5 linked regions of the Xenopus tropicalis genome follow. The protein of the gene in region 4 interacts with the protein of the main gene of each other region in a biochemical or structural test. Links are inferred from orthologs where the notes say so. Each region holds a gene or a part of one and is shown on either strand. Other genes may lie near its edges.

Region 1 (3,606 bases), on a different chromosome or scaffold from region 4:
GTTAATGTGAGTTGAATAGATAGGTTGGTAAGACTGTCTATATGTGCACTGGGGTTCATTTGGAAGGGTTGAACTTGTTGGACTTTGGTCTTTTTTCAACCCAACTTAACTATATTATATATGTGTGTGTTTTTCTGAACAGGAGATTTTCAGAACTCCCACATGTTGCATTATTTGCCTTTTTTGACAAGTTTACAAAAGCAAAACGTCTTATTCCAATCCAAACCTTATTTCCGTGTAAGATAAACAAGGGCCTACTTGCCTGTGTAAATAAATTCCATCAGTTATACAAAAGCATAAATAGTGCGGTCAACATTTAGGGCGCTGTAGCACACAGCAGATTGACTAACAGTGGTTCCCAAGGAAACCAATGGCAAGAACAGAGGACTACTTATTAGAAAAGATAAAAAATGCCCTGTGACTGGGGGGTATAAAGACATTGGCTAGTGGCTGTGCTTAAATGCAGGAAGAGAAACAGCCCCCGCTGCAGCCTGAGAGTCGGCCCCGTGTGTGACTTGCTATCACAAGTAGCTGTGATTAAAGTACATGCCCCACAGCCCCAATGTTTAGTCTACAGTGCCACAAGTGTAAATGATCAACTGATAATCAATGCTGTCAGATAAAGGCTACTTTGTTGCAAAGGAAGAACAGTTTGCTTTATTTTTTATGATTCCTTTCTTCCTCAAACGATAAAAAAAAAACCTACAATATTCCACAGTGCCTTCACGCATGAGCCACCAATGGGAAGGCAAGGAGAGATGAAGCTGGCGTTCGTTCCCACAGGTCAGGGTTCAGCCTTAAACTAGTGTGTGGCTCTGTTTCACAGGGTGTACTTGCAAGTAGCTTGTGTGTAAATATTTAATTCAAGTGACAGAGCAGAGGTATGGCTGATAAGAGCCGGTCATTTATAGTTAATTACAGCTACACGTGATGCAAATAACGTCCCAGATGCAAACGTTCACATCGCCATACAGATTAAACAGGAATATTAGTCGGAATAAATGGACCAGACATTCTCTTTATGAGTGTGTGTGCACCACGTTTGTGCCAGGGCACCGTACCCAAAGCTGCCAGAGTCTTCAGGGGCAAGAAATCCAACGCCGTAAGGGTGAAGACACACTGAGCTACTAGTAGCAGCTACTTTTTCATGGCTACTAAACTCCAGAAAATCCCCTGCCATAGACAATACCGAGAACTGACCCTGCTAAAACACACGTAGAGACAATTATCAGTAAATAATCAGCATTGTCTATTTTAGTAGCCACGACAAGTAGCTGCTACTAGTAGCTCCGTGTCTCTTCACCCTAAATGGACACTTGTGCAGTTGTTGTGTAACCGTGTGTGAACATATTTATAACATTGCTTAGAAAAAAAATAAGCCACACTAACCTTTTTCATCACTTTGTTCTGTTTGTGGAAAAATTCTACCTTGATATCCCCGCAAACGGGCAAAGGCTGGGGGAAATCAAAATACATCAACTTCTCGATGCGCTTGGGACCTGCTGTTGAGGTGAAGATCTTGACTTTCAGCTGGTAAACGACAAACTGGGGATCTAGGAGAATACAGAGAGGTTGTTAGTTGGTCTGAAGGAAAGCAGGTTATTGAGAAAGAAAAGCCTGTTGTTCTAGGGTGAAGACACACAGATACTAGTAGCAGCTACAGATACAGACAATGCTGATCATTTACTGATAATTGTCTCTACGTGTGTTTTAGCAGAGGCAATTCTCAGTATTGTCTATGGCAGGGGATTTTCTGGCATTTAGTAGCCGTGACAAGTAGCTGCTACTAGTAACTCTGTGTGTCTTCCTTAATGTCACATCAGAGATCTGATGTCTGCACCATTGTATCATTTAAACCAGTGTTTTTCAACCTTTTTTGGGGAAAGGCACACTTGTTTCATGAAAAAAATCACGAGGCACACCACCATTAGAAAATGTTAAAAAATTTAACTCTGTGCCCAGCAGCAGTGCCCCCCTAGTACACTGGTGCCCAGCAGCAGTGCCCCCCTAGTACATTGGTGCCAAGAGCAGTGCCCCCCTGTTACATTGGTGCCCAGCAGCAGTGCCCCCCTAGTACATTGGTGCCAAGAGCAGTGCCCCTCTAGTACATTGGTGCCCAGCAGCAGTGCCCCCCTAGTACATTGGTGCCAAGAGCCAGCCCCCCTAGTACATTGGTGCCCAGCAGCAGTGCCCCCATAAGTCAGTGTGCCCCGTGGCCCCCCTTAATACATTGGTGCCCAGCAGCATTTTACTCTTCGGCGGCTTCAGCAGCATCTTCCCCTCACGCGCGCCGCCTCTGCACTTCTGCCTACACGCGACCGCACACAGGCCCTTTTATAACGTTGCGCCCCGTGCGTACTGACGTCACCCATACACACGGGGCGCAACCAATGACAGGGCTCGGATTTTTTTTAAAGTAAAAATTGCGGCCCTGCCTACGGCACACCAGGCAACATCTCGGAACAGCGGTTGAAAAACGCTGATTTAAAAGATGTGGTTTATTTGCTTATAATCATCCCTTGGAGTAGGGCCCCAGCCTCTATTCTTAGAGGTCTTGCAAGCATTTTCCCATGTTATAGTTTATAAAGAAAATGACATATACATATTTTGGCAATGCCCTATTAACTAGGACTATTGGGGAGGGGGGGGTTGTAGTTACTGGAATGAAACTCTGCTATACAAGCCCGGCTTCTTTGGCCCATGGTGATCAATGTTTTGCATTTCTAGCCTGTTCTTTGTTAGGCTTTAGTTGTCCATTATTAAAGGAATTTGTGTACTAGCCTTAGGCCACAACAGCCCATTAGCAATATTGATGCCCCCAGTAGCTTCCCATCTTCTTTTCTGCCGATGCCCTGGGCTGCCGCCATTTACCTCACTAACAATGTATAGTATACACACAATGTAAATTCACCATACAATGCTGAATTCACATTTGCAATATAGGGCAGTAAACAAACTAGTCCATTCTCTGGAATCCCATTATCTAGAAAGTTCTAAATTACAGAAAGTCTATGGGAGATGGCCTATTATAAGCAAATCATTCTAATTACTGAAAATTATTTCCTTTTTCTCTGTAATAAAACAGTACCTGTACTTGATCCCAAGATATAATTACCCCTTATTGGGGGCAGAACAGCCCTATTGGGTTTATTTCATGGTTAAATGATTCCCTTTTCTCTGTAATAATAAAACAGTACCTGTACTTGATCCCAACTAAGATATAATTACCCCTTATTGGGGGCAGAACAGCCCTATTGGGTTTATTTCATGGTTAAATGATTCCCTTTTCTCTGTAATAATAAAACAGTACCTGTACTTGATCCCAACTAAGATATAATTACCCCTTATTGGGGCAGAACAGCCCTATTGGGTTTATTTAATGGTTAAATGATTCCCTTTTCTCTGTAATAATAAAACAGTACCTGTACGTGATCCCAACTAAGATATAATTACCCCTTATTGGGGGCAGAACAGCCCTATTGGGTTTATTTAATGGTTAAATGATTCCCTTTTCTCTGTAATAATAAAACAGTATCTGTACTTGATCCCAACTAAGATATAATTACCCCTTATTGGGGCAGAACAGCCCTGCTGGGTTTATTTAAT
Region 2 (4,326 bases), on a different chromosome or scaffold from region 4:
GCTGCAGGAGGTGGGAAGACGTAGCCCCCATTGGGCATATATGGGTAGGCAACATTTGGAGCTCCTCCACTTGAGGCTACAAGGGCGAGTAGAAACCATATTTTATAAAAATGGGTAAAGGAAAAAGTGCATTGCAAAGGCTGAGGCAGAATTTCTGACCCATTGGGATTTCCCTTTAAATCTTTTCCCCGAGGTGTGGGGCTTGTGGCAAATGTGTATTTGCTCTCCTAGGTAGTCCTGGGAGTCCAGACTAAATGTCAAGAGATTGTGACTTCAGATACCCCCTGCTCACCTTGAGAGGCCACGTGTAGCATGTGCTGGCCGAACTCTATAGCGCCCCCTGAAGGAAAGCTTAGTTTAAATGTAGCAGATCCTTCCCAACCACCTGCAGGCAAAGAAATGAATTCCAGATTAAAAGATATATTTAACCTACAGCAAATTATATTAGCAAAAAATAAAGGCAGGTGTCCCAGGAGCTGAAGTGGGACCTAGAACGCATAGGTATCCGTCAGATAGTAACACTGCTCACCTCCAGGCTCAGCTCTCACGTTGCCCTTGATAAAATTGGCTCCAAATACGGGCTGCTTAATTTCACAGTCCTTCATCAGATAGAAGGGCATCATGAACGACTGCATGGGGTCCCTTCCTTTGGACACAAATATCACCTGTGGATGCAAAATTAGCCTCACCCACATGCATAATACACAAGAGCCGTAAAAGATATGCTTATAAATAGGTTAGAATCTGTGTCACATGACTCACTGAAATAATAATAACTGAAAGAATAATGTACCCCCTTGGAATAAAATGAGAGAATATTAGACACCTCAAAGCTTTAGGGCCTGTATTAAAGTGATTTTGTGCCGCCTTTATATGTTCATGGATCCCCTCTGTGACTTTTATTAAGGAGGTGTAGAAGGGCACTAGCCCTATATGTAATAAATGACACTAAAGTTTGGCATACACTGGCAAATCTAAGTTGCCGATTTGAGTCCTTCAGACCGTTTCGGGCGCTTATCTGCCCATGGGGCCCCCCAGCAGGCCTACCCAACCAATATCTGGATAAAAATGGGCAGGTGGCGAAACAATCGATTTAGCCAAATTTTGCCCACCTTAGGTGGAAATGATCCACTCGATTAAACCTTAAGTTTGCCTGATAGCAATAACCCACAGCAACCAATAAGTATATTCTACCTGCTGACTGGTTGCTATGGGTTACTGTTCCTGGGCAAATTTAGTTTTTTTAATTACATAACCCCCAAGTGTCTTCTCTGACCTAATGGAAAGTTTAGTTGCACATTAGCAGTTTATTCCATGGTGCCAATGAGTCAGACTGCACCTAATGAGTGAAGGAAAAGGGAGGCAGACTTACTCGATATGGTGTCAGAATGACTCTGCCTTTCTTGGTCCCTCTGAAAGCCTCTGGGGTGCTGTCCATGTCACTAAATGTGACCTCCACATGTTCATAAGAAGTAAGGATACTGGAAGATAATAAAGGGCAAGTTCAATGAGAACAGTGCAGTTTAGTAGTCAAAGACGAACTGCCAGCTGGACACCGGGAAAAAACCAAGCGGGCCCCTCGATCCCTGCTGGTGTTCCTGAACTGACGTCCCTCCACCAGACTGGGGGGTTTGGGATGATGGGGACCCCTTGGGGGTGTGGTGTGTGTGGGGGGTGGTTATTGTGCATCTTCATGATATTGGGCCAAACTGACTATCTGTTTGAGGAATAAGAGGAGTGCCCAAGGGTGTAAATGTAGAGGAAGAAGACCCTGCAACTGCCAAGGTATAAGAGATCAGTGTCAGACTGGGAACCCAGAGGCCCACCAGAAAACCTTAGACCCCAGGCCGCTTTTCCAAACTATTTTTCCTCCTTTCCTCACCCAACCTCTTTATTCTCCTAGTCTCTTTTATTTACATGCTAGCATCTATTCTTCCATCTATTTCTCTTCTTTGTTCCCATTCAGAAACAGGGAATGACCATGAAGCAGGCCAAATGCTGAGGAGCAGGAGGGCCCACTGACATCTGGGCCCACCGGGAGTTTTCCTGCTATCCTTGTGGGCCAGTCCGACACCGTAAGAGATCCAACAGAACACTGAATGATACGCGGTTTCAGTGGCATAACTGAGCCCTATAGCAAAATCATTTTAGCGCCCCAATAAACTTTAGGAATAAGACATTTTTTATAATAAAGCTATTAAAACTGCTTATCAGTCAGTGCCCTATGGGGCCTCCTATAATCTCCAGGGTCACTCTGCCTTCCCCGGGTCTGAGCGTTAAATATCTCCTACATATTGCAGCACTGTATACACCCCTCCACTGTATCATGTGATTATGTAAGTGCTTCATAAGAATATTATATTAAATTAATAATATAAATAATAATAAAGGGGGTTTAGTAAGTAAATCTCACAAGGGATACATGTGGGACATATTATATATAGATATGCTGATAGAATTAAGTATATTGTGCCTGGGAATAGGAAAACACACACAATATTATACAAATAGTACAGCAGACAGGCAAAGAGAGGGAGGCGGGTGTATCTGTATCAGCTCCATAATTGGCACAAATCCCTGCTCGTCATGTCCAAGCTCCGCCCCATATATGATGACAGATACCCGGAACCCATATTCATGCAGGGGGTCCGTCTAACGTTTCGCTGACTGCTTCCCGCGACTGTCTCTCTACTTAGCCGCTGTCCTACCTCTCGCTGTTGTTAATTACTGCACCTCCGCCATCCAGGTGGTTCCTGTTAAGGGCCATATTGCGGAGATAAAAAGGTCACACCTCCGCAGCCTAGCAACAGCCAATCACCGTGCTCGAAGAGTCTCTCGCACTTTGAGACGCAGTCTGGGCGGTTCCACTGCTGTAGGGCCGGCCGCTCATTGGCTGAGGGATCTATGACTGGCATGTGTTCTTGATCGCTAGGGGGCGTGTATCACTGAAAATAAACCATGGCCGCTTGAGGCGCTAATGTTGTAGTTGTGTTTCTGCGTTGCTAATACTTCATTGTAACGATCACTTAGCGCTGAGGCGCAGAGCTGCTCCGTGTATTACGGTTGTTACCAATGTAGCGCTGTGTTTGGGCGGCTATTCAGGGCAGTAAGTGTTAAATTCTACTTTATGGGGAATATCCAATCTTATTTTGTACAGTTATATCGGCCAATTAGTTAGTTAAACATACTACTTCACTACAAACCTCTCCTAACAGGATTTCATACAATCCCAATTGAGGTTATCACAGGGCTGATATTAAGCTATTTCATACTCCCCGCGTAGTTGCTTCGCCCCTTCTTACACTTAGGGGCACATTTACTAACCCACGAACGTCCAAAAAGTGTTTTTTTTTCGTAATGATCGGTATTTTGTGACTTTTTCGAGCGCTCAATACGAAAGTCGCGACAATTCGCGCAAGTCGTAACGGCTACGAAAAAGTCACAAAAAATATGAAAAAGTCGCAAAATGTTCGTTTTACAATCCAAATTTTTCCCATTCGGATTCGTGGATTAGTAAATCAGCCCCTTAGTATAGCGGCGGAAATACAAGAAGGTCTCTAACTGGTCGATGTATATATTAGTTGAGGTAAAGTTATCTTACAGGTAAGTATTACGTTGCGTTTCTCTAACATACGGTGGGTCCGGTATTGCCAGGGTAAAGCCGCCATACACGCACCGATAATATACGTAACCTCGTTTCATACGATATTCGGTGCGTGTATGGCAACTCGGCGAGGCGGCCGATATCACAGAAGGCTGTCGACTCACCAATCGGACCGGTTAAAAGATTTTGTTTGGGCACCGTAGAAGGCGCCTGAGCAAAATCTGCCTTCAGCGCTGAATCGGCAGAAGGAGGTAGAAATTAGAGCTGGGCGGTATGGCCAAAAATTTATATTGCAGTATTTTTCAAAATGATATCGGTGTCGCTGTATTTGACGGTATTTTTTTTTTTCCATGCATGATTAGGTGTTAACCCCATTTCCTAATAAATTAGAGAATAATTACTGTAGTATTGAAAATCAGAGTCAGGCAAGCGAAGGATCGGCAACAGAAAGTCGTAAGGTAAATCAGGCAGGCTTAGTTTCCCAGGCAAGGCCGCAGACAACATAGCACAGGAGGAGGCGTTTGATAGCTTTAAATACCCCCCACGCATGCGCAGAACCGGCGCCGTTAGCGCGTCGCGGACGTGCACGCTTTGACATGTACGTGCGCTTTGACGCACACACACCTGGACGCGCGTGCGCAATGTCCCGCGGACAACGGGACGCGCGCGCAAGGAGGCGTGCGAGAACGGGCCGCACGGGTGAGTACCCTGACACCCCGGTA
Region 3 (4,116 bases), on a different chromosome or scaffold from region 4:
GGATGCCACATCTTTGTCAAAAAACGAAACGCAGGAGGAGAGTAGGGGTAATCAACTGGAAATTTTAAGCGGGCCTAGGACAAAAAGAACATGTAATGGTTAACAAGCAAGTGAGTATGGTTGAGATCCATGCCTTTGTTATAACACACCGTAGCTCCGATTAGCACAAAATAATGGTTCTCAAGCAACATATCTAAGAGTAGATCAACCAAATTTCAGTCTATTAAAAAAAAAAGTGTAATTTATTAATTTTTTACTTGTTTGCTCTCTTTCTGTAGTAACAATAAAACAGTATCTTGTGCTTTATGATAACTAAGCTAACATAAATCCATGTTTCTGGCTAAAAGATCATCTTGGTTTTTATTTTTAAATGCTTCAGCAGGCCATAAACGGGCCAATAAAAGCTGCTAGGTCAGTGCCTCCAGGCCAAATTAACAGCTTATTGGCTCGTGTATAGGGCCCGTCTGACCAATAGCTGATCAATTTTCAATACGGCAAGTTTGAAAATCCTATTGAATGAGGGTGCATTGGCACTCTGAATGTGGCTATCATGCAAGAGGCCCCAATAAAAGATTTGAATTATGTCCAAAAGCTTTCAGAATAATAGATCTCATACTTATAGAACTGCATGATGGGTAAGCAAGCTCAGCTGTCATCAGATTAATGATAAGTAAATAAAAAATAAGGTCTGTTTTCAGTTCCAGGGAGGCTGGATAATGAGATGCACCAATTCCAGAGTTTTATGATTCAAACCTTTGTAAAAGATTTGGCCTAATACCGAACCAAACTCTAATTTGCATTTGAAAACTAACCTATAAAAGGAATAAAAATGTTCAACTTCTGGGTTTACATAAAGAAATAGTGATTTTAAGGATTCAGATTTGGTTCAACCAGGCACATGGATTCGTCTGAATCCGAATCCTGTTGAAAAAGGCAGAATCTTGGCCAAACGCCGAAACAAATCCTGGATTCAGTGTATCCCTAATAATATGTATATTATACATATATTGAAAGTGGTGGTTCACCTTTGAGTTAACTTTTAGTATGTTATAGAAAGGCCAATTCTAAGCAACTTTTCAATTAGTCATTATGTTTTTCATAGTTTTTGAATTATTTACTCTTTGCAGCTTTCAAAGGGGGGTCACTGACCCCCAAGCCAAAGAACTATTGTTCTGCGAAGCTATAGTTTAACTGTTATTGTACATTACTTATGTTTCTATTCAGGCCCTCTCGTATTTATATATCAGTCTTTTATTCAAATCACACCATGGTGGCTTAGGTAATTTGGATCCAAGCAACCAAATAGCTGCTGAAACTCCAAGCTGGAGACAACCAAAAACTGAAATAATTAAAAAAAACTACAAATAAAAAATGAAAACCAGTTGCAAATTGTTTCAGAATATTACGCTCTACATCATACTAAAAATTAAGTAAAAGGTGGACAACCCCTTTAAAGGGGTTGTGCACCTTTGACTTAACTTTTTAGTATGATTTTTTTTTGGCTCAGGGGTCAGTGACCCCATTTGAAAGCTGCAAAGAGTTAGGACAAGGAGGCAAATAAATTAAGAAACTATGAAAAACAAATAATGAAGAATATTCGAAAAGTTGATTAGAATAGGTCTTTATATAAGATACTAAAAGTTAACTTAAAGGTGAACCACCCCTGTAAAACACAATTACATTGTTCTAGCCATTTAACATCTCATTATAAACCCCTATTAAATTTCTTGATCTGTGCAAATGTCTAGGAATAAGTAGTCCCTTGAAACTAATATTATATATATATATATATATATATATATATATATATATATATATATATACACACACACTATAGAAGGCACATCTTAACAAAACTGCCCAAAACTAAGTATAGAGACCCCTTTAATCCTTAAAAGAATGAGGCTTCATACATGTAGCTAGTATGGCATACTAAAATGTAAAAGAGTGGAACGCCTATGTTTGATTAATCTTCTGAAAATCTTTATGAAATAGGCACAGGATGAATACATATAAACCCAGGGTATCTCCACAAACACAAAGTGCCAAATCAGAAGTTAGATGAAGAGTTTAGAGCGTTTTCCTGTTACACAAAGGCCTTTATTGCTTTCTAACACCGTGCATCCTGTGGCTGGGGCCTAGCAGCTGTTGTTGGACTACAACTCGCAGAAAACAGGATTAAAGATTTAGTAGTGCCACACTCTTTCAGTAAGTTTTAGTTTTGGGGTAGCTTTGAGGGCTGGTTGAGTTTCATGTGAAACATTAGTTTCGGGCAAGTTACGGCTATGGCTGTAGGAGTCACATAAACAAAGGAAAGCTTGTTGTGCAGAAAGGCCCAGCGATGTACGCAATACCCACCCACGCCTCTATTACTTACTGCCTCTTTAAATACCCCCCAGCGTGGCTTTCCCTCCCCAAGGCCCCTATGATCACGAACTCCACCATTTCACACACACCTAACCCTCACCTTGAAGTACCCCCCCTCATAGAGGGTGTTTGGGGGGCCAAAGATTGCCACCTCCCAGTTGTACAGATCCCCCTCATCTACCAGGGTGACCCGGAACCCCTCCACCGGCTCTTCCTGTAGCCCCTTGAGTTCCAGCATCAAGGCCTTCTGAGAGCTGGGCACCGGCGCCACCGGCCGGGCCATGGTAGTTCCGCTCCCCGCTTTCTAACCAGGAGCCCACAGCGTCCTCCGCGTAGGGCAGGATGGGATCAGTAGGCTTTTGGTGTTTTAGCAAGAAGGGGCTGCTAGACGACTAAAGGCTTTATTACGACATGTTACGGCACAACGGAGCCGCTTTGCGAATTAACTTGCTGGCTGGAAGAGTAACGGGTGCCGGAAACTGCAAGTGAAGCCACGGCGTTGTGGGAGGAGCAGCCTACAAATCCCACAAGCCCACGAACACTGTGACGCACTGGTGCGAGGGAAGTGTAATCTGAGCGGAGGAAGGAGGGGTCTTGCTGAGGCTGATGGGAACAAAGCTAGATGTTGGTTTCTAGTGGGGAAACGTGATTTACAGAGCTTTTATTTAGTAGTGCAGTAGAAAACTTCAACTTGACACAAAGTTTCTGAATGAACAGTGAATATATCCTTTAATCTCCTAGAATATAACCTTCTAATACAGCTCACCTTAAAGGGCACCTATCACCCTCAAATTGTTTCCCTCATCAGAGGTTAGGGAAACAATAGCTTTTTGTGAAAAAAAAAAAAGCTCCTACCATTGCTAGGCTGCCTGCAGCAGAAGAGTGCTCCAGGTGTGGGCAGCCATATTGCCTCATTTCTCACAATGTGCATAATGAGTGAGTGCCACAAGTTGCTTATTATGTGCATGCTTGTGATGGAGGGTGAATTGCATCCACCACGCCTAGATCAGGCGCATGCGCATCATCTGCAAGTGGAAAGGCGCATTTATTATGCCCACGCATGGCAAACAACATGGTTGCCTGTACTGGGAGCTTCATTCAGGTGCGGGCAGCCTAGAAATGGCAGTTGCTGTATTTTTTAAAAACCAAACTATCGTTTTCCCTCAACCAAAGTGCTGCGTCTATTAGCCTGCACCTCTGGTGGGAGAAGCAGTTAAAGGGTCATAGGTGCACTTTAAAGGACAGGGAAACTTAGATTCAGTGGGTGGCAATTTATTGGGTGCCCCCAACACTTTCCATCAGGCCGGTGCTACACTTTGTAAAATGCCACTTCACTACTACTAGTTAAAGACTAGTTGCTTCCTACTCCATGTACGGTGTTGTAAACAGTAGCATAAGTAGAAGTTACTAGGCCCTGAAAAATCATTTTGGCACACCTTGAAATTAGAAATAATATCTTTCATATACATATAATGAAACTACTTATTATTCAGCAGGCTCCCAACAGTCACAGGGTGTGCTTGCTTTAAAGTTACATTCCTTGTTAAAGGAGATCTAAACCCTTAAAAATTAATATGGCAAGAAGTTGGGAAGTTTTTATATACTGGACTTATTGCTCCAGCCTAAAGGTTTAGCATATTTATTATAGTACTGATCCAGTATTTCAGAGTTGTCACAGGGAATGACTCTGTTAGAAGAGTCTGTGACACTCACATGCTCAGTGTGCTCTGGGCAGTGGCTGAGAAGCTA
Region 4 (4,386 bases):
GGCAGCCAATAAAGCTGGAAAAAAGGAGAAAAGGCACAGGTTACATAGCAGATAACAGATAAGCTCTGTAAAATACAATAGTGTTTTATCTGTTATCTGCTATGTGCCTGTGCCTTTTCTCCTTTGAATGGCTGCCCCCATGGCTAGATAGCAGCTTATTTATATAAATTATAGTAGACTTTCTGAAGTAAACACACAACTTTTACCAGTGCAGGGCAGCAGCACATTATATTTTAGTTACTTTTATACACTTTCATTTTTTGGTGTTACTGTTCCTTTAAGTCAAGTTTTGTGTTGGATAAAGTACAGGTATGGGACCCATTATCCAGAATGCTCGGGACGTGGGGTTTTCTGGATAAGGGGTCTGTAATTCAGATCTCCTACCTTAAGTCTGCTAATAAAATTATTTAAACAGTAATTAAACCCAATAGGATTATTTTGTATCCAATAAGGATTAATTATGTCTTAGTTGGGATCAAGTACAAGGTTCTGTTTTATTACTACTGAGAAAAAGGAAATCATTTTTAAAAATGTGAATTATTTGATTAAAATTGGGTCTATGGGAGATGGCCTTTTCCTAATTTGGAACTTTCTGGATAATGGGTTTCCAGATAAGGGGTCTGATACCTGTACCAGGCAAATCCAAAAATAATGGATTCTGTGCATCCCTTCAACACAGCAAAAGTATGAACAGGGAGGACAAACATTTCAATATTGAGTTCTATGATGCATAAGAGGAAGGAGCCCATAGTTTACAATGGGTAGATAACATACAGACACAAAGGTTTGGGAATTGGCCCTTAATTGTTCTAGAACTCAAAATGGTAGAATCAGAGTTTCTTTTTGAAGAGGTTGAGAGACTGCCTCTTACGGAGCATTTCATGGATGAAAATACAGAAGTAAGGATCAGAAGCAGAGAAAGGTTATAAAATGAGATATGGAAGTGGATGTGGATATTATGTAAAGGCAGTGGCTCTGAATGAAACAGATGAGCCAGACAGAGAAAAGAATGGGGAAATGTAACACAGGTTAAATGATCAGCAGAAGATGTGTAAACTATTGTTTAATTAAAGGAACAGTAACACCAAATGATGAAAGTAATTATAATATAATATAAAGTTGCCCTGCACTGGAAACACTAATCTGTTTGCTTTAGAAACTCTACTATATTTATATAAATACCCTGCTGTGTAGCCATGGGGGCAGCCATTCAAGCTCGAAAAAAGACACAGGTTACATAGTAAATAACAAATAGGTCCTGTAGAATACAATTATGTTTTATCTGTTATCTGCTACATGATTTATGTCTTTTCTCCTTTTTTCCAGCTTGAATGGCTGCCCCTATGTCACATTTTATTTGAATTACTTTAAAACATTTTCATTTTTTGGTTTAACAGTTCCTTGTTTAAAGCGATACTGACATGTTCCTATGAAAATCCATAGGAACATATCAGTATTACTAAAACATTGCAGCACAAAAATATGTCCAGCCAAAGGACTGCCAAAGCCCAGCAGTACCTAGCTGTCAAGAAAGGGAAAGTGAATAAAAGAAGAGGTGCTATTTTCTTGGGTCATGCTGGACTGGGGTCAGCACAATCCTTTCATAGGTTAATAAGAAATAAAGCTAGTTCTTCAGCCTATGGAAGGATTACATTGCCTTAAGCCCAGTGTTAATGACACAACTACAGAGCATCCTTTAGCTATGTCAGATTGTGGGCTCAGGTAAGTATAGCTGAGCTAGGGATGTCTTTGGGGGAATTTTAGCTAGAAGGTATTTGGTGCAAAAACTCTTTAATAATACTTACACATTCTAATTATTTTTTATAGGAACATGTCAGTATAGCTCTACTAGGCTGCCAAGATAAAAAATTTTAACTGAGGGCAAGGTGGAATCTAGCAGCTGAGTTTAAAACAATGGAGAAAAAGGTGTGAGTCTGGGATGTATGTATGTATATTTTTATGTATAAAGCGCTACTTATGTACGCAGAGCTGTACAGTAGTGTACGCAGCGCTGGGATGGCACGATGCGTGTTTTAGCAGTTGCTTGAGAAAGAAAATCAGGGAACATGACAGTATTTTTAAGACGAAAGCAGAAGATTTTGGCAGTAGCATTAAAACAATCTGAGGATTAAAATGGTTAAAGATAAGTTCCAGGCAGCATGCTCAATTAACAATATTAATAAGCATGCCATCAAAGGTAATGCTAAAGAGATGAGACAGGCCAGATTTGGATGGCTAGACTACAGGATCCGTTTTTGTGAGGTTTATTTTGAGGTGGCACAGATTTATCCAGAAGGGAATACCTAGGAGTCAGCCAGAGATCTGGGTCTGCATGTCAGTGCTTCCTGGAAGGGTTTCTTAATATATCCTTATGTTAAATCGTTTTCCTTAACAGAGAGTGTACATGGCAAACAACATAATGATTGTGTCAGAGTTTTATAAGCTAGTGTAACAAGACCACTAACATAACTAGGAACCTTGTCACATATTTATGTTTTCGGTACAACACTGCGCACTGTTATGGCTTCTTGCCCTCCCACCACAATCCCAGTTCTCTCCTGAAATACAAAGTGCCCTCGAGCTATCGCCAATACACCGCTAGCAAAGTGTTTCAGTCTGCTGTCATATTCTCATTATTACACGAACACCATTACTAGGAACCTCCCCCAAACAAAGCAAACGTTCTCTGTACTTTAAATGTGTATTCCCCATCCCCTCACAATGTAAATCCAATCAATAACAAACAGCATAATATCTCTCTGCCTGCTTTATTCTTCCCCACTCTTCCAAATCAAATCTGTTTTACTGTCGCCGACCCTATGCTGTTCCGCCAAATTCTTTTATTTGTATTTACCTGCTACACCACTCTCTTCTTCACTTCCGCCTTCAGCACTTTCGGTCATGTGACCATTGGCCTTGTCACGTGACCCGGAAGAAAGTTTAGGTAGCACCGGATGCAGGAGGTGTTGGCGTTCTGTAGTGAGCTGCCATTTTACTATGGGGACGATATCCCGTGGGTTCTTAGCAACAATCTCTCTTTATCGTTCTTATTTCTCGGCACGCTAAAAGGCGTGAGGGACGTTTATATTCAATTAGTGAGTTACGGGAAGTGTCAGTTTTGCTATTGTGCGTACTCTAAGCACCGTTCCGCATTGTTTGTCTTATATTCTACTGTACTGGAAATGCAAAGCGATACAATTAAAGAATTTGTGTGAATTTTTTTCTACCTCGTTAAAAGATTTTTTGCATGGTCTGTAACCAATTGTGGTGTTGCTGCTTCTGGGATACAATGCTATGTTCTCTATTCTTTTAATATGTTTCCATATTGGTGACATTAGCAGCAAGTCTTATTTTTAGCAGCTGGGACGGCCAGGCGGCAGCCCCACCAACAATTCCCTATAAATAAGTGGACAGAAGATAATAACTAAGCTCGGATCTGCAACTGCCCGTTCATTGTTGATTTTTTAATGGATACCGTTGTTCCCCCCCCCGGTTGAAACATAGATATATTAATTTTTCTGGCATTACTATACTATGCATGCAGTGGCCCAGGGCAGCAGAGGAAGCTGTGGGGCATTAAATAAAAGATGATTGCACAGCACTCTAGTGGAGATTACCTTGGACCTATGTTAGAGTTTGTTCCCAAAGATGTTCAATGTATTGTCATTTTGCTGGAAGCTGTACTACTTTCCTCTCCCCTTTTTTCTTTCATTTATTCCACACATCTCTTGCTTTATATATTATGTATTGTTTAGAAAAAAAGTAGGGGGAACAACAGTTACTATATATATATATATATAATTTTATATGTAGCAAGAAGACAGGCACTCTCGTAAAAGTAGGTCCAAAGGAGCCTGGGTGCAGTTCCAAAATAATAGATGGAGTAGCTGTAGAGAGAGTCCGCACTCACAGGTCTTACAGAAAATATAGAGGTTTTATTCAAATCAACATCTAACGTTTCGGCTGCATCCACAGCCTTTCTCAAAGTCTTTGAGAAAGGCTGTGGATGCAGCCGAAACGTTAGATGTTGATTTGAATAAAACCTCTATATTTTCTGTAAGACCTGTGAGTGCGGACTCTCTCTACAGCTACTCTTTATATATATATACACATACACAAGGAAGAGTGGAGCACACCCTATAAAAGTTCAAATGCCCTGGGTGCTGGCTGGTTTGGCCTTTTGGTTTGTCCCTGAGGAAGAGTACAGTTAGTACTCTAAATGTTGGATTTTTTTGAATAAAATTTTTTCACTTTATCGTTAAGTCCTTGTGTGCGGCTCTCTGTCTATATATATATATATATATATATATATATATATATATAGTTTAAATATGAAGAATTCAAATCAGAATAGCAGAAGGGGAAAAGGCAGAGAAGATAATGAAT
Region 5 (4,151 bases), on a different chromosome or scaffold from region 4:
GTACGTTGGGGAAAAGACTTTTTCGCTATTCGCGCATTATACGCACAGCCGTATATAAAAGTGCGCTGAAACTGCCGCCGGAGAAAGGGGCATTGAAGCAAAAAGAGGGGGTTTACGCTTTACACCCCAACTTTAATAGGGGTGTAATAATAAAAGTAGGCTGGTAAATAGGAAACAGGGGGGAGGGCATGATTAATAAACACATTAAGCAGAACAGAAATAAGCTTAAAAGGTAAATGAAGGGAAAAACAATATATTACTAGGGTATAAGTGCAATAAAGGGAGGGACAGCCCCGATCCATTGATGGGGGGATGAATGAGATGTCAGTAGTAACTACTCAGCCCCCTGGCACTGTCACTACTGTCATAGGGAATAATACCTAATAATGACATGAGCCGAGACCCCCCCCCCAGAAATACATAAGCCCCCCCCCCCCTTTATTGCCACTGATATTAGCCCAGCAGACCTGCTATAGGACTGGAGACTGGATGATAATGGGGTGTATCTTGTATATGAAGGTTTCCTGGCAAAGTGACACAAGGCACCCCCACAATCCGTGTGACCCCCCCCATTCCTTTCACACAGTACAACGGAATGACATAGTGACAATGACACCTCCCAGCTTACACAGCAGACTGTACCCCCACAGCACCCACCGTGCCCACTATCCCCAAGCCACACTGTCAGTTATACCAAGGGGCAAGTTACTCTGCCCTGCTATTAGCCACAGCGACCAATGTATCCAATGTGCTGTACCCATGAAACCCAGAGCCATGCCCCCTTTGCCATTCCCGCTATACCCAAGGATAAATATGGAAAAAGAATAGTTGTGCCCTGAGATAAATATGCCCAGTCATATACCCCATTATAACTGTGCCAAATGGCAGTAAATCAGTATCCCCATTACCCATCACAATATTGAACCCCCAAGCCTGTGGCTGCATTGAAATACTAATGCCAGACTGACCCTCTGATGCCAACTACACACACCAGCTGTGCCCAGTGGGTGCCAATGTCCCTGCAGGACAGGGTGGCAGTCAGAGCAAATCCACCCTGCCATGTGTGTGTGCCAGTCTGGGTGTCAAAGTCCCTGCAGGACAGGGTGGCAGTCAGAGCAAACCCACCCTGCCATGTGTGTGTGTGCCAGTCTGGGTGTCAAAGTCCCTGCAGGACAGGATGGCAGTCAGAGCAAACCCACCGTGCCATGTGTATGTGCCAGTCTGGATGGCAGTCAGAGCAAACCCACCCTGCCCTGTGTGTGAGTGCCAGTCTGGGTACAGGGGGCACCTACCTAGTTCGCACAGCCTGCTGAGATGGTGCGGGTTGCAGCAGACCAGCTCCGGGTTGTTCTTGCCATAGGAATCGCAGCAACTAAGTCGTTTGACCTCGGACGAGTGCCTGAGGTCCGGCCACCTGAAGACCTTGCAGAGCAGCAGCGGCAGGGAGAAGGGCTGCTGCCCCAGCCTGGAGTCCAGCTTGGCCGCCGGCAGCAACAGGCAGGGGCTGCGGGCTCCCCCTTTACACTCCACCGCCTGCAGCAGCCCCTCCAGCTGCTTCTCCTTCAGCTTCTTCAGCACGGAGTGGGCGAGGGCTTTCAGTTCTGCAGCCTCCGAGCCCCCCAGCGCCTTCCCGGGCACCTTATTCGCCGATTTGCCCAGGCAGCAACCCCCGGCTCCATGAACCCTCTCCCCGCCTTCCCCTTCCCCGCTCTCCCCGGGAGCTCGGCTCCTCCAGAGTCGCCGGACGAGCACCGATCGTTTGGTCCTGAACATGCGGGACGAGAGCAAGGCTTCCCGGCTAAACAACGTGCATGACGCCCGCAAATCATGAAGAATCCTGGATCCGAGGCCGGGCAGAGACCAGCAGCAGCAGCCCGGGAGGGTAGGGGGGAGCTGGGGGTCCGACAAGCCAAAGCGATCTGGAACATGCGCCAGTCTTTTAGGGGAAGAGATCCTGCAAAGTGCGGCGGGGGGATCCGAGTCGCAGCGACAGGAATACTGCAAACGGCAAGCAGCCGCCCCGGCTACACATACAGCGGGCTAATGCTGGGCAGCCGAGCCGGGAGCAGCGGGGCATTGAATGGAGCACAGAGCGCTGCCCGGCTTGGCCTGGGATCTAAAGGGCATTTATACACAATCCTCCCGGTAGGAAAGCGGGCTCCCCCCACAACTCGTACATCCACAAACGAGCGGGTCTGCCGATAATATCCCTTGTGTATGGGGGGCAAATGGGCAGAGAGTAGGGGCACTAGGGCGGCAGAACCTTATAGATAATCCGTACGCGATGCGGTTCCAGTAAAGAAGTAGAAGCCCTGGGTTGCGCCTCTCGCTTGTTTAATCCACAAGAAAAATCCTTTATCCGGCCGCTCAGTAGGAGAGAGGGGAAAAAAATAAAGTGGGACTTGTCTTTTCCTCCTTCTCAAAGGGCTGATCCGCCCCCGTCTGTGTTATGGAAATGTGCGATGGGGAGAGGGGGGGGGGAGAGGAGGAGGGACCGGCCGCACAGCGGAGACACGGCGAGGGGCAGCGGGGAGAGGACTGGTATCCCTCCGCTAACGAGGGCCGGCTATGGGGGTTCACTGGGGCACCTACACTCTACTGGGGGGGTGCTGTGTCCACAAAGCTCACACTCACAGCACCCAGTTACCAAGGGACTTCACCCTGCTCATTGCTGTCAGTGCCCCTCCTCTCTCCCTGACTGTCTCTCACTTCCCCCTCCCCTGTCTGTGCCTGTCTCTCTCTCTCCCCGGCTCTCTCGGCTCTGTCAGTCTCCTGTGCGCAATGGCGCGGCCCATCACGTGGGTGTCTAGACAGCCTGTCGCTTTAACAAAAAAAAAAAACCCCAAGGATTGTGTTGCGCAAAGGCTTCGGGTTACTGAAAGCTCCTCTTTTATGTCACAGTCAGTCATATGTGTGAGTCTGAGTGAGAGTGTGAGTGAGAGTGTGAGTCTGAGTGTGAGTGTGAGTCTGAGTGAGAGTGTGAGTCTGAGTGAGAGTGTGCACTATGCATTTAGTGGGGCATAAAGCCATCAGTGTAACATTAAAGGGGAGGTTAGCTTTTCAGTATGGCCAATTCTAAGCAACTTTTCAATTGGTCTTCATTATTTATTTTTATCATTTTTAAATTATTCCCCTTCTCCTGCCTCTTTCCAGCTTTCAAACAGGGGTCACCGACCCCCGCAACAAAAACTATGGCTCTGTGAGGCTACAATTTTATTGGTATTGTTACTTTTAATTACTTTTCTTTCTGTTTAGAAATATCAGTCTCTCATTGAAACCAATGCCTGGTCACCAGGGGCCCCCACACCCCCAGTAGGGACTCCCGCCGGCTGCCTCCCTGCGGCCCACCAGGTTTTTTCCTGGTGTCCCGTCGGCCCAGTCCAATCCTGCTGGTTGCTAAGGTAATTTGGACCCTAGCAACCAGATAGCTGCTGAAATTCCAATCTGGAGAGCTGCTGAACAAAAAGTGAAATAATTACAGAACTACAAAAAATAATGACAAACTGCAAATTATCTCAGAATATTACTCTCTATCTCATACTAAAAGTTAACTCAAAGGTGAACTACCTCTTTAGATGTAAGTACCTGGGTATAATAATTACTCCCAGTGGCAGGCTGATACACCTTTATGGCATTGCTGCTGCTGAGCTGTGGGAGAGGATGTAGGCTAAGGCTGTTAGGGGTTGCTGGGAGCTGTAGTTCAAGCTGTGGGGAGCAGATTGATTACTAATGAATAAACTGCTTGCAGGGCCTGGCAGGTATAAGGAGAATACATTATACATACTCGGGTTTCATGTTGTTTCTAACATAGAGGTAGTAGATGCATGGAGTGAGCTCTCCGGGGAGAGGGTATCGGCCTTAGTTATCAGCTCAGCTTGACTGTGCATGAATGGGGTTAAATGGCCGGCTTGTGATGTTGGAGGGGAAGTCGGGCTGAGAGGTTTCAGTGCAGGTTGTTAGGGCTGGACAAGTCCCCCTCGAGCCGCTACTTAAATCTCACTTTTGGCTCGTGACGTTTGGGTACAAAGTGTACATGTTGCAACGTCCGCAAGCTTGTCTCTAATTACTGTCTGCCTCCTACCTGTCCCTCTGTCTGCCTCCTACCTGTCCCTCTGTCTGCCTCCTACCTGTCCCTCTGTCTGCCTCCTACC

Evidence for each region.
Region 1: the proteins of wwp2 (region 4) and pten form a complex in vitro, tested with the Homo sapiens proteins (7 studies listed by BioGRID, with this or other methods). The link is inferred for Xenopus tropicalis from reciprocal best matches to the Homo sapiens genes WWP2 and PTEN.
Region 2: the proteins of wwp2 (region 4) and wbp2 form a complex in vitro, tested with the Homo sapiens proteins (4 studies listed by BioGRID, with this or other methods). The link is inferred for Xenopus tropicalis from reciprocal best matches to the Homo sapiens genes WWP2 and WBP2.
Region 3: the proteins of wwp2 (region 4) and cdc34 form a complex in vitro, tested with the Homo sapiens proteins (2 studies listed by BioGRID, with this or other methods). The link is inferred for Xenopus tropicalis from reciprocal best matches to the Homo sapiens genes WWP2 and CDC34.
Region 5: the proteins of wwp2 (region 4) and smad7 are reported together in a solved structure, tested with the Homo sapiens proteins (2 studies listed by BioGRID, with this or other methods). The link is inferred for Xenopus tropicalis from reciprocal best matches to the Homo sapiens genes WWP2 and SMAD7.

What each region holds. Positions count from the first base shown.
Region 1 is NC_030683.2:12,943,732-12,947,337, forward strand, and holds part of pten (phosphatidylinositol 3,4,5-trisphosphate 3-phosphatase and dual-specificity protein phosphatase PTEN), read right to left. Parts: intron 1,554-3,606; coding exon 1,390-1,553; intron 1-1,389. UniProt on the Homo sapiens protein: Dual-specificity protein phosphatase, dephosphorylating tyrosine-, serine- and threonine-phosphorylated proteins.
Region 2 is NC_030686.2:44,869,575-44,873,900, forward strand, and holds the start of wbp2 (WW domain-binding protein 2), read right to left. Parts: upstream 2,835-4,326; 5' UTR 2,768-2,834; coding exon 2,709-2,767; intron 1,482-2,708; coding exon 1,373-1,481; intron 666-1,372; coding exon 530-665; intron 386-529; coding exon 293-385; intron 77-292; coding exon 1-76. UniProt on the Homo sapiens protein: Acts as a transcriptional coactivator of estrogen and progesterone receptors (ESR1 and PGR) upon hormone activation. In presence of estrogen, binds to ESR1-responsive promoters. Synergizes with YAP1 to enhance PGR activity.
Region 3 is NC_030677.2:105,629,544-105,633,659, reverse strand, and holds the start of cdc34 (ubiquitin-conjugating enzyme E2 R1), read right to left. Parts: upstream 2,808-4,116; 5' UTR 2,651-2,807; coding exon 2,468-2,650; intron 75-2,467; coding exon 1-74. UniProt on the Homo sapiens protein: E2 ubiquitin-conjugating enzyme that accepts ubiquitin from an E1 ubiquitin-activating protein, and catalyzes its covalent attachment to other proteins by an E3 ubiquitin-protein ligase complex. In vitro catalyzes 'Lys-48'-linked polyubiquitination.
Region 4 is NC_030680.2:60,922,884-60,927,269, forward strand, and holds the start of wwp2 (NEDD4-like E3 ubiquitin-protein ligase WWP2), read right to left. Parts: upstream 2,894-4,386; 5' UTR 2,855-2,893; intron 1-2,854. UniProt on the Homo sapiens protein: E3 ubiquitin-protein ligase which accepts ubiquitin from an E2 ubiquitin-conjugating enzyme in the form of a thioester and then directly transfers the ubiquitin to targeted substrates.
Region 5 is NC_030677.2:205,594,039-205,598,189, forward strand, and holds the start of smad7 (mothers against decapentaplegic homolog 7), read right to left. Parts: upstream 2,837-4,151; 5' UTR 1,774-2,836; coding exon 1,293-1,773; intron 1-1,292. UniProt on the Homo sapiens protein: Antagonist of signaling by TGF-beta (transforming growth factor) type 1 receptor superfamily members; has been shown to inhibit TGF-beta (Transforming growth factor) and activin signaling by associating with their receptors thus preventing SMAD2 access.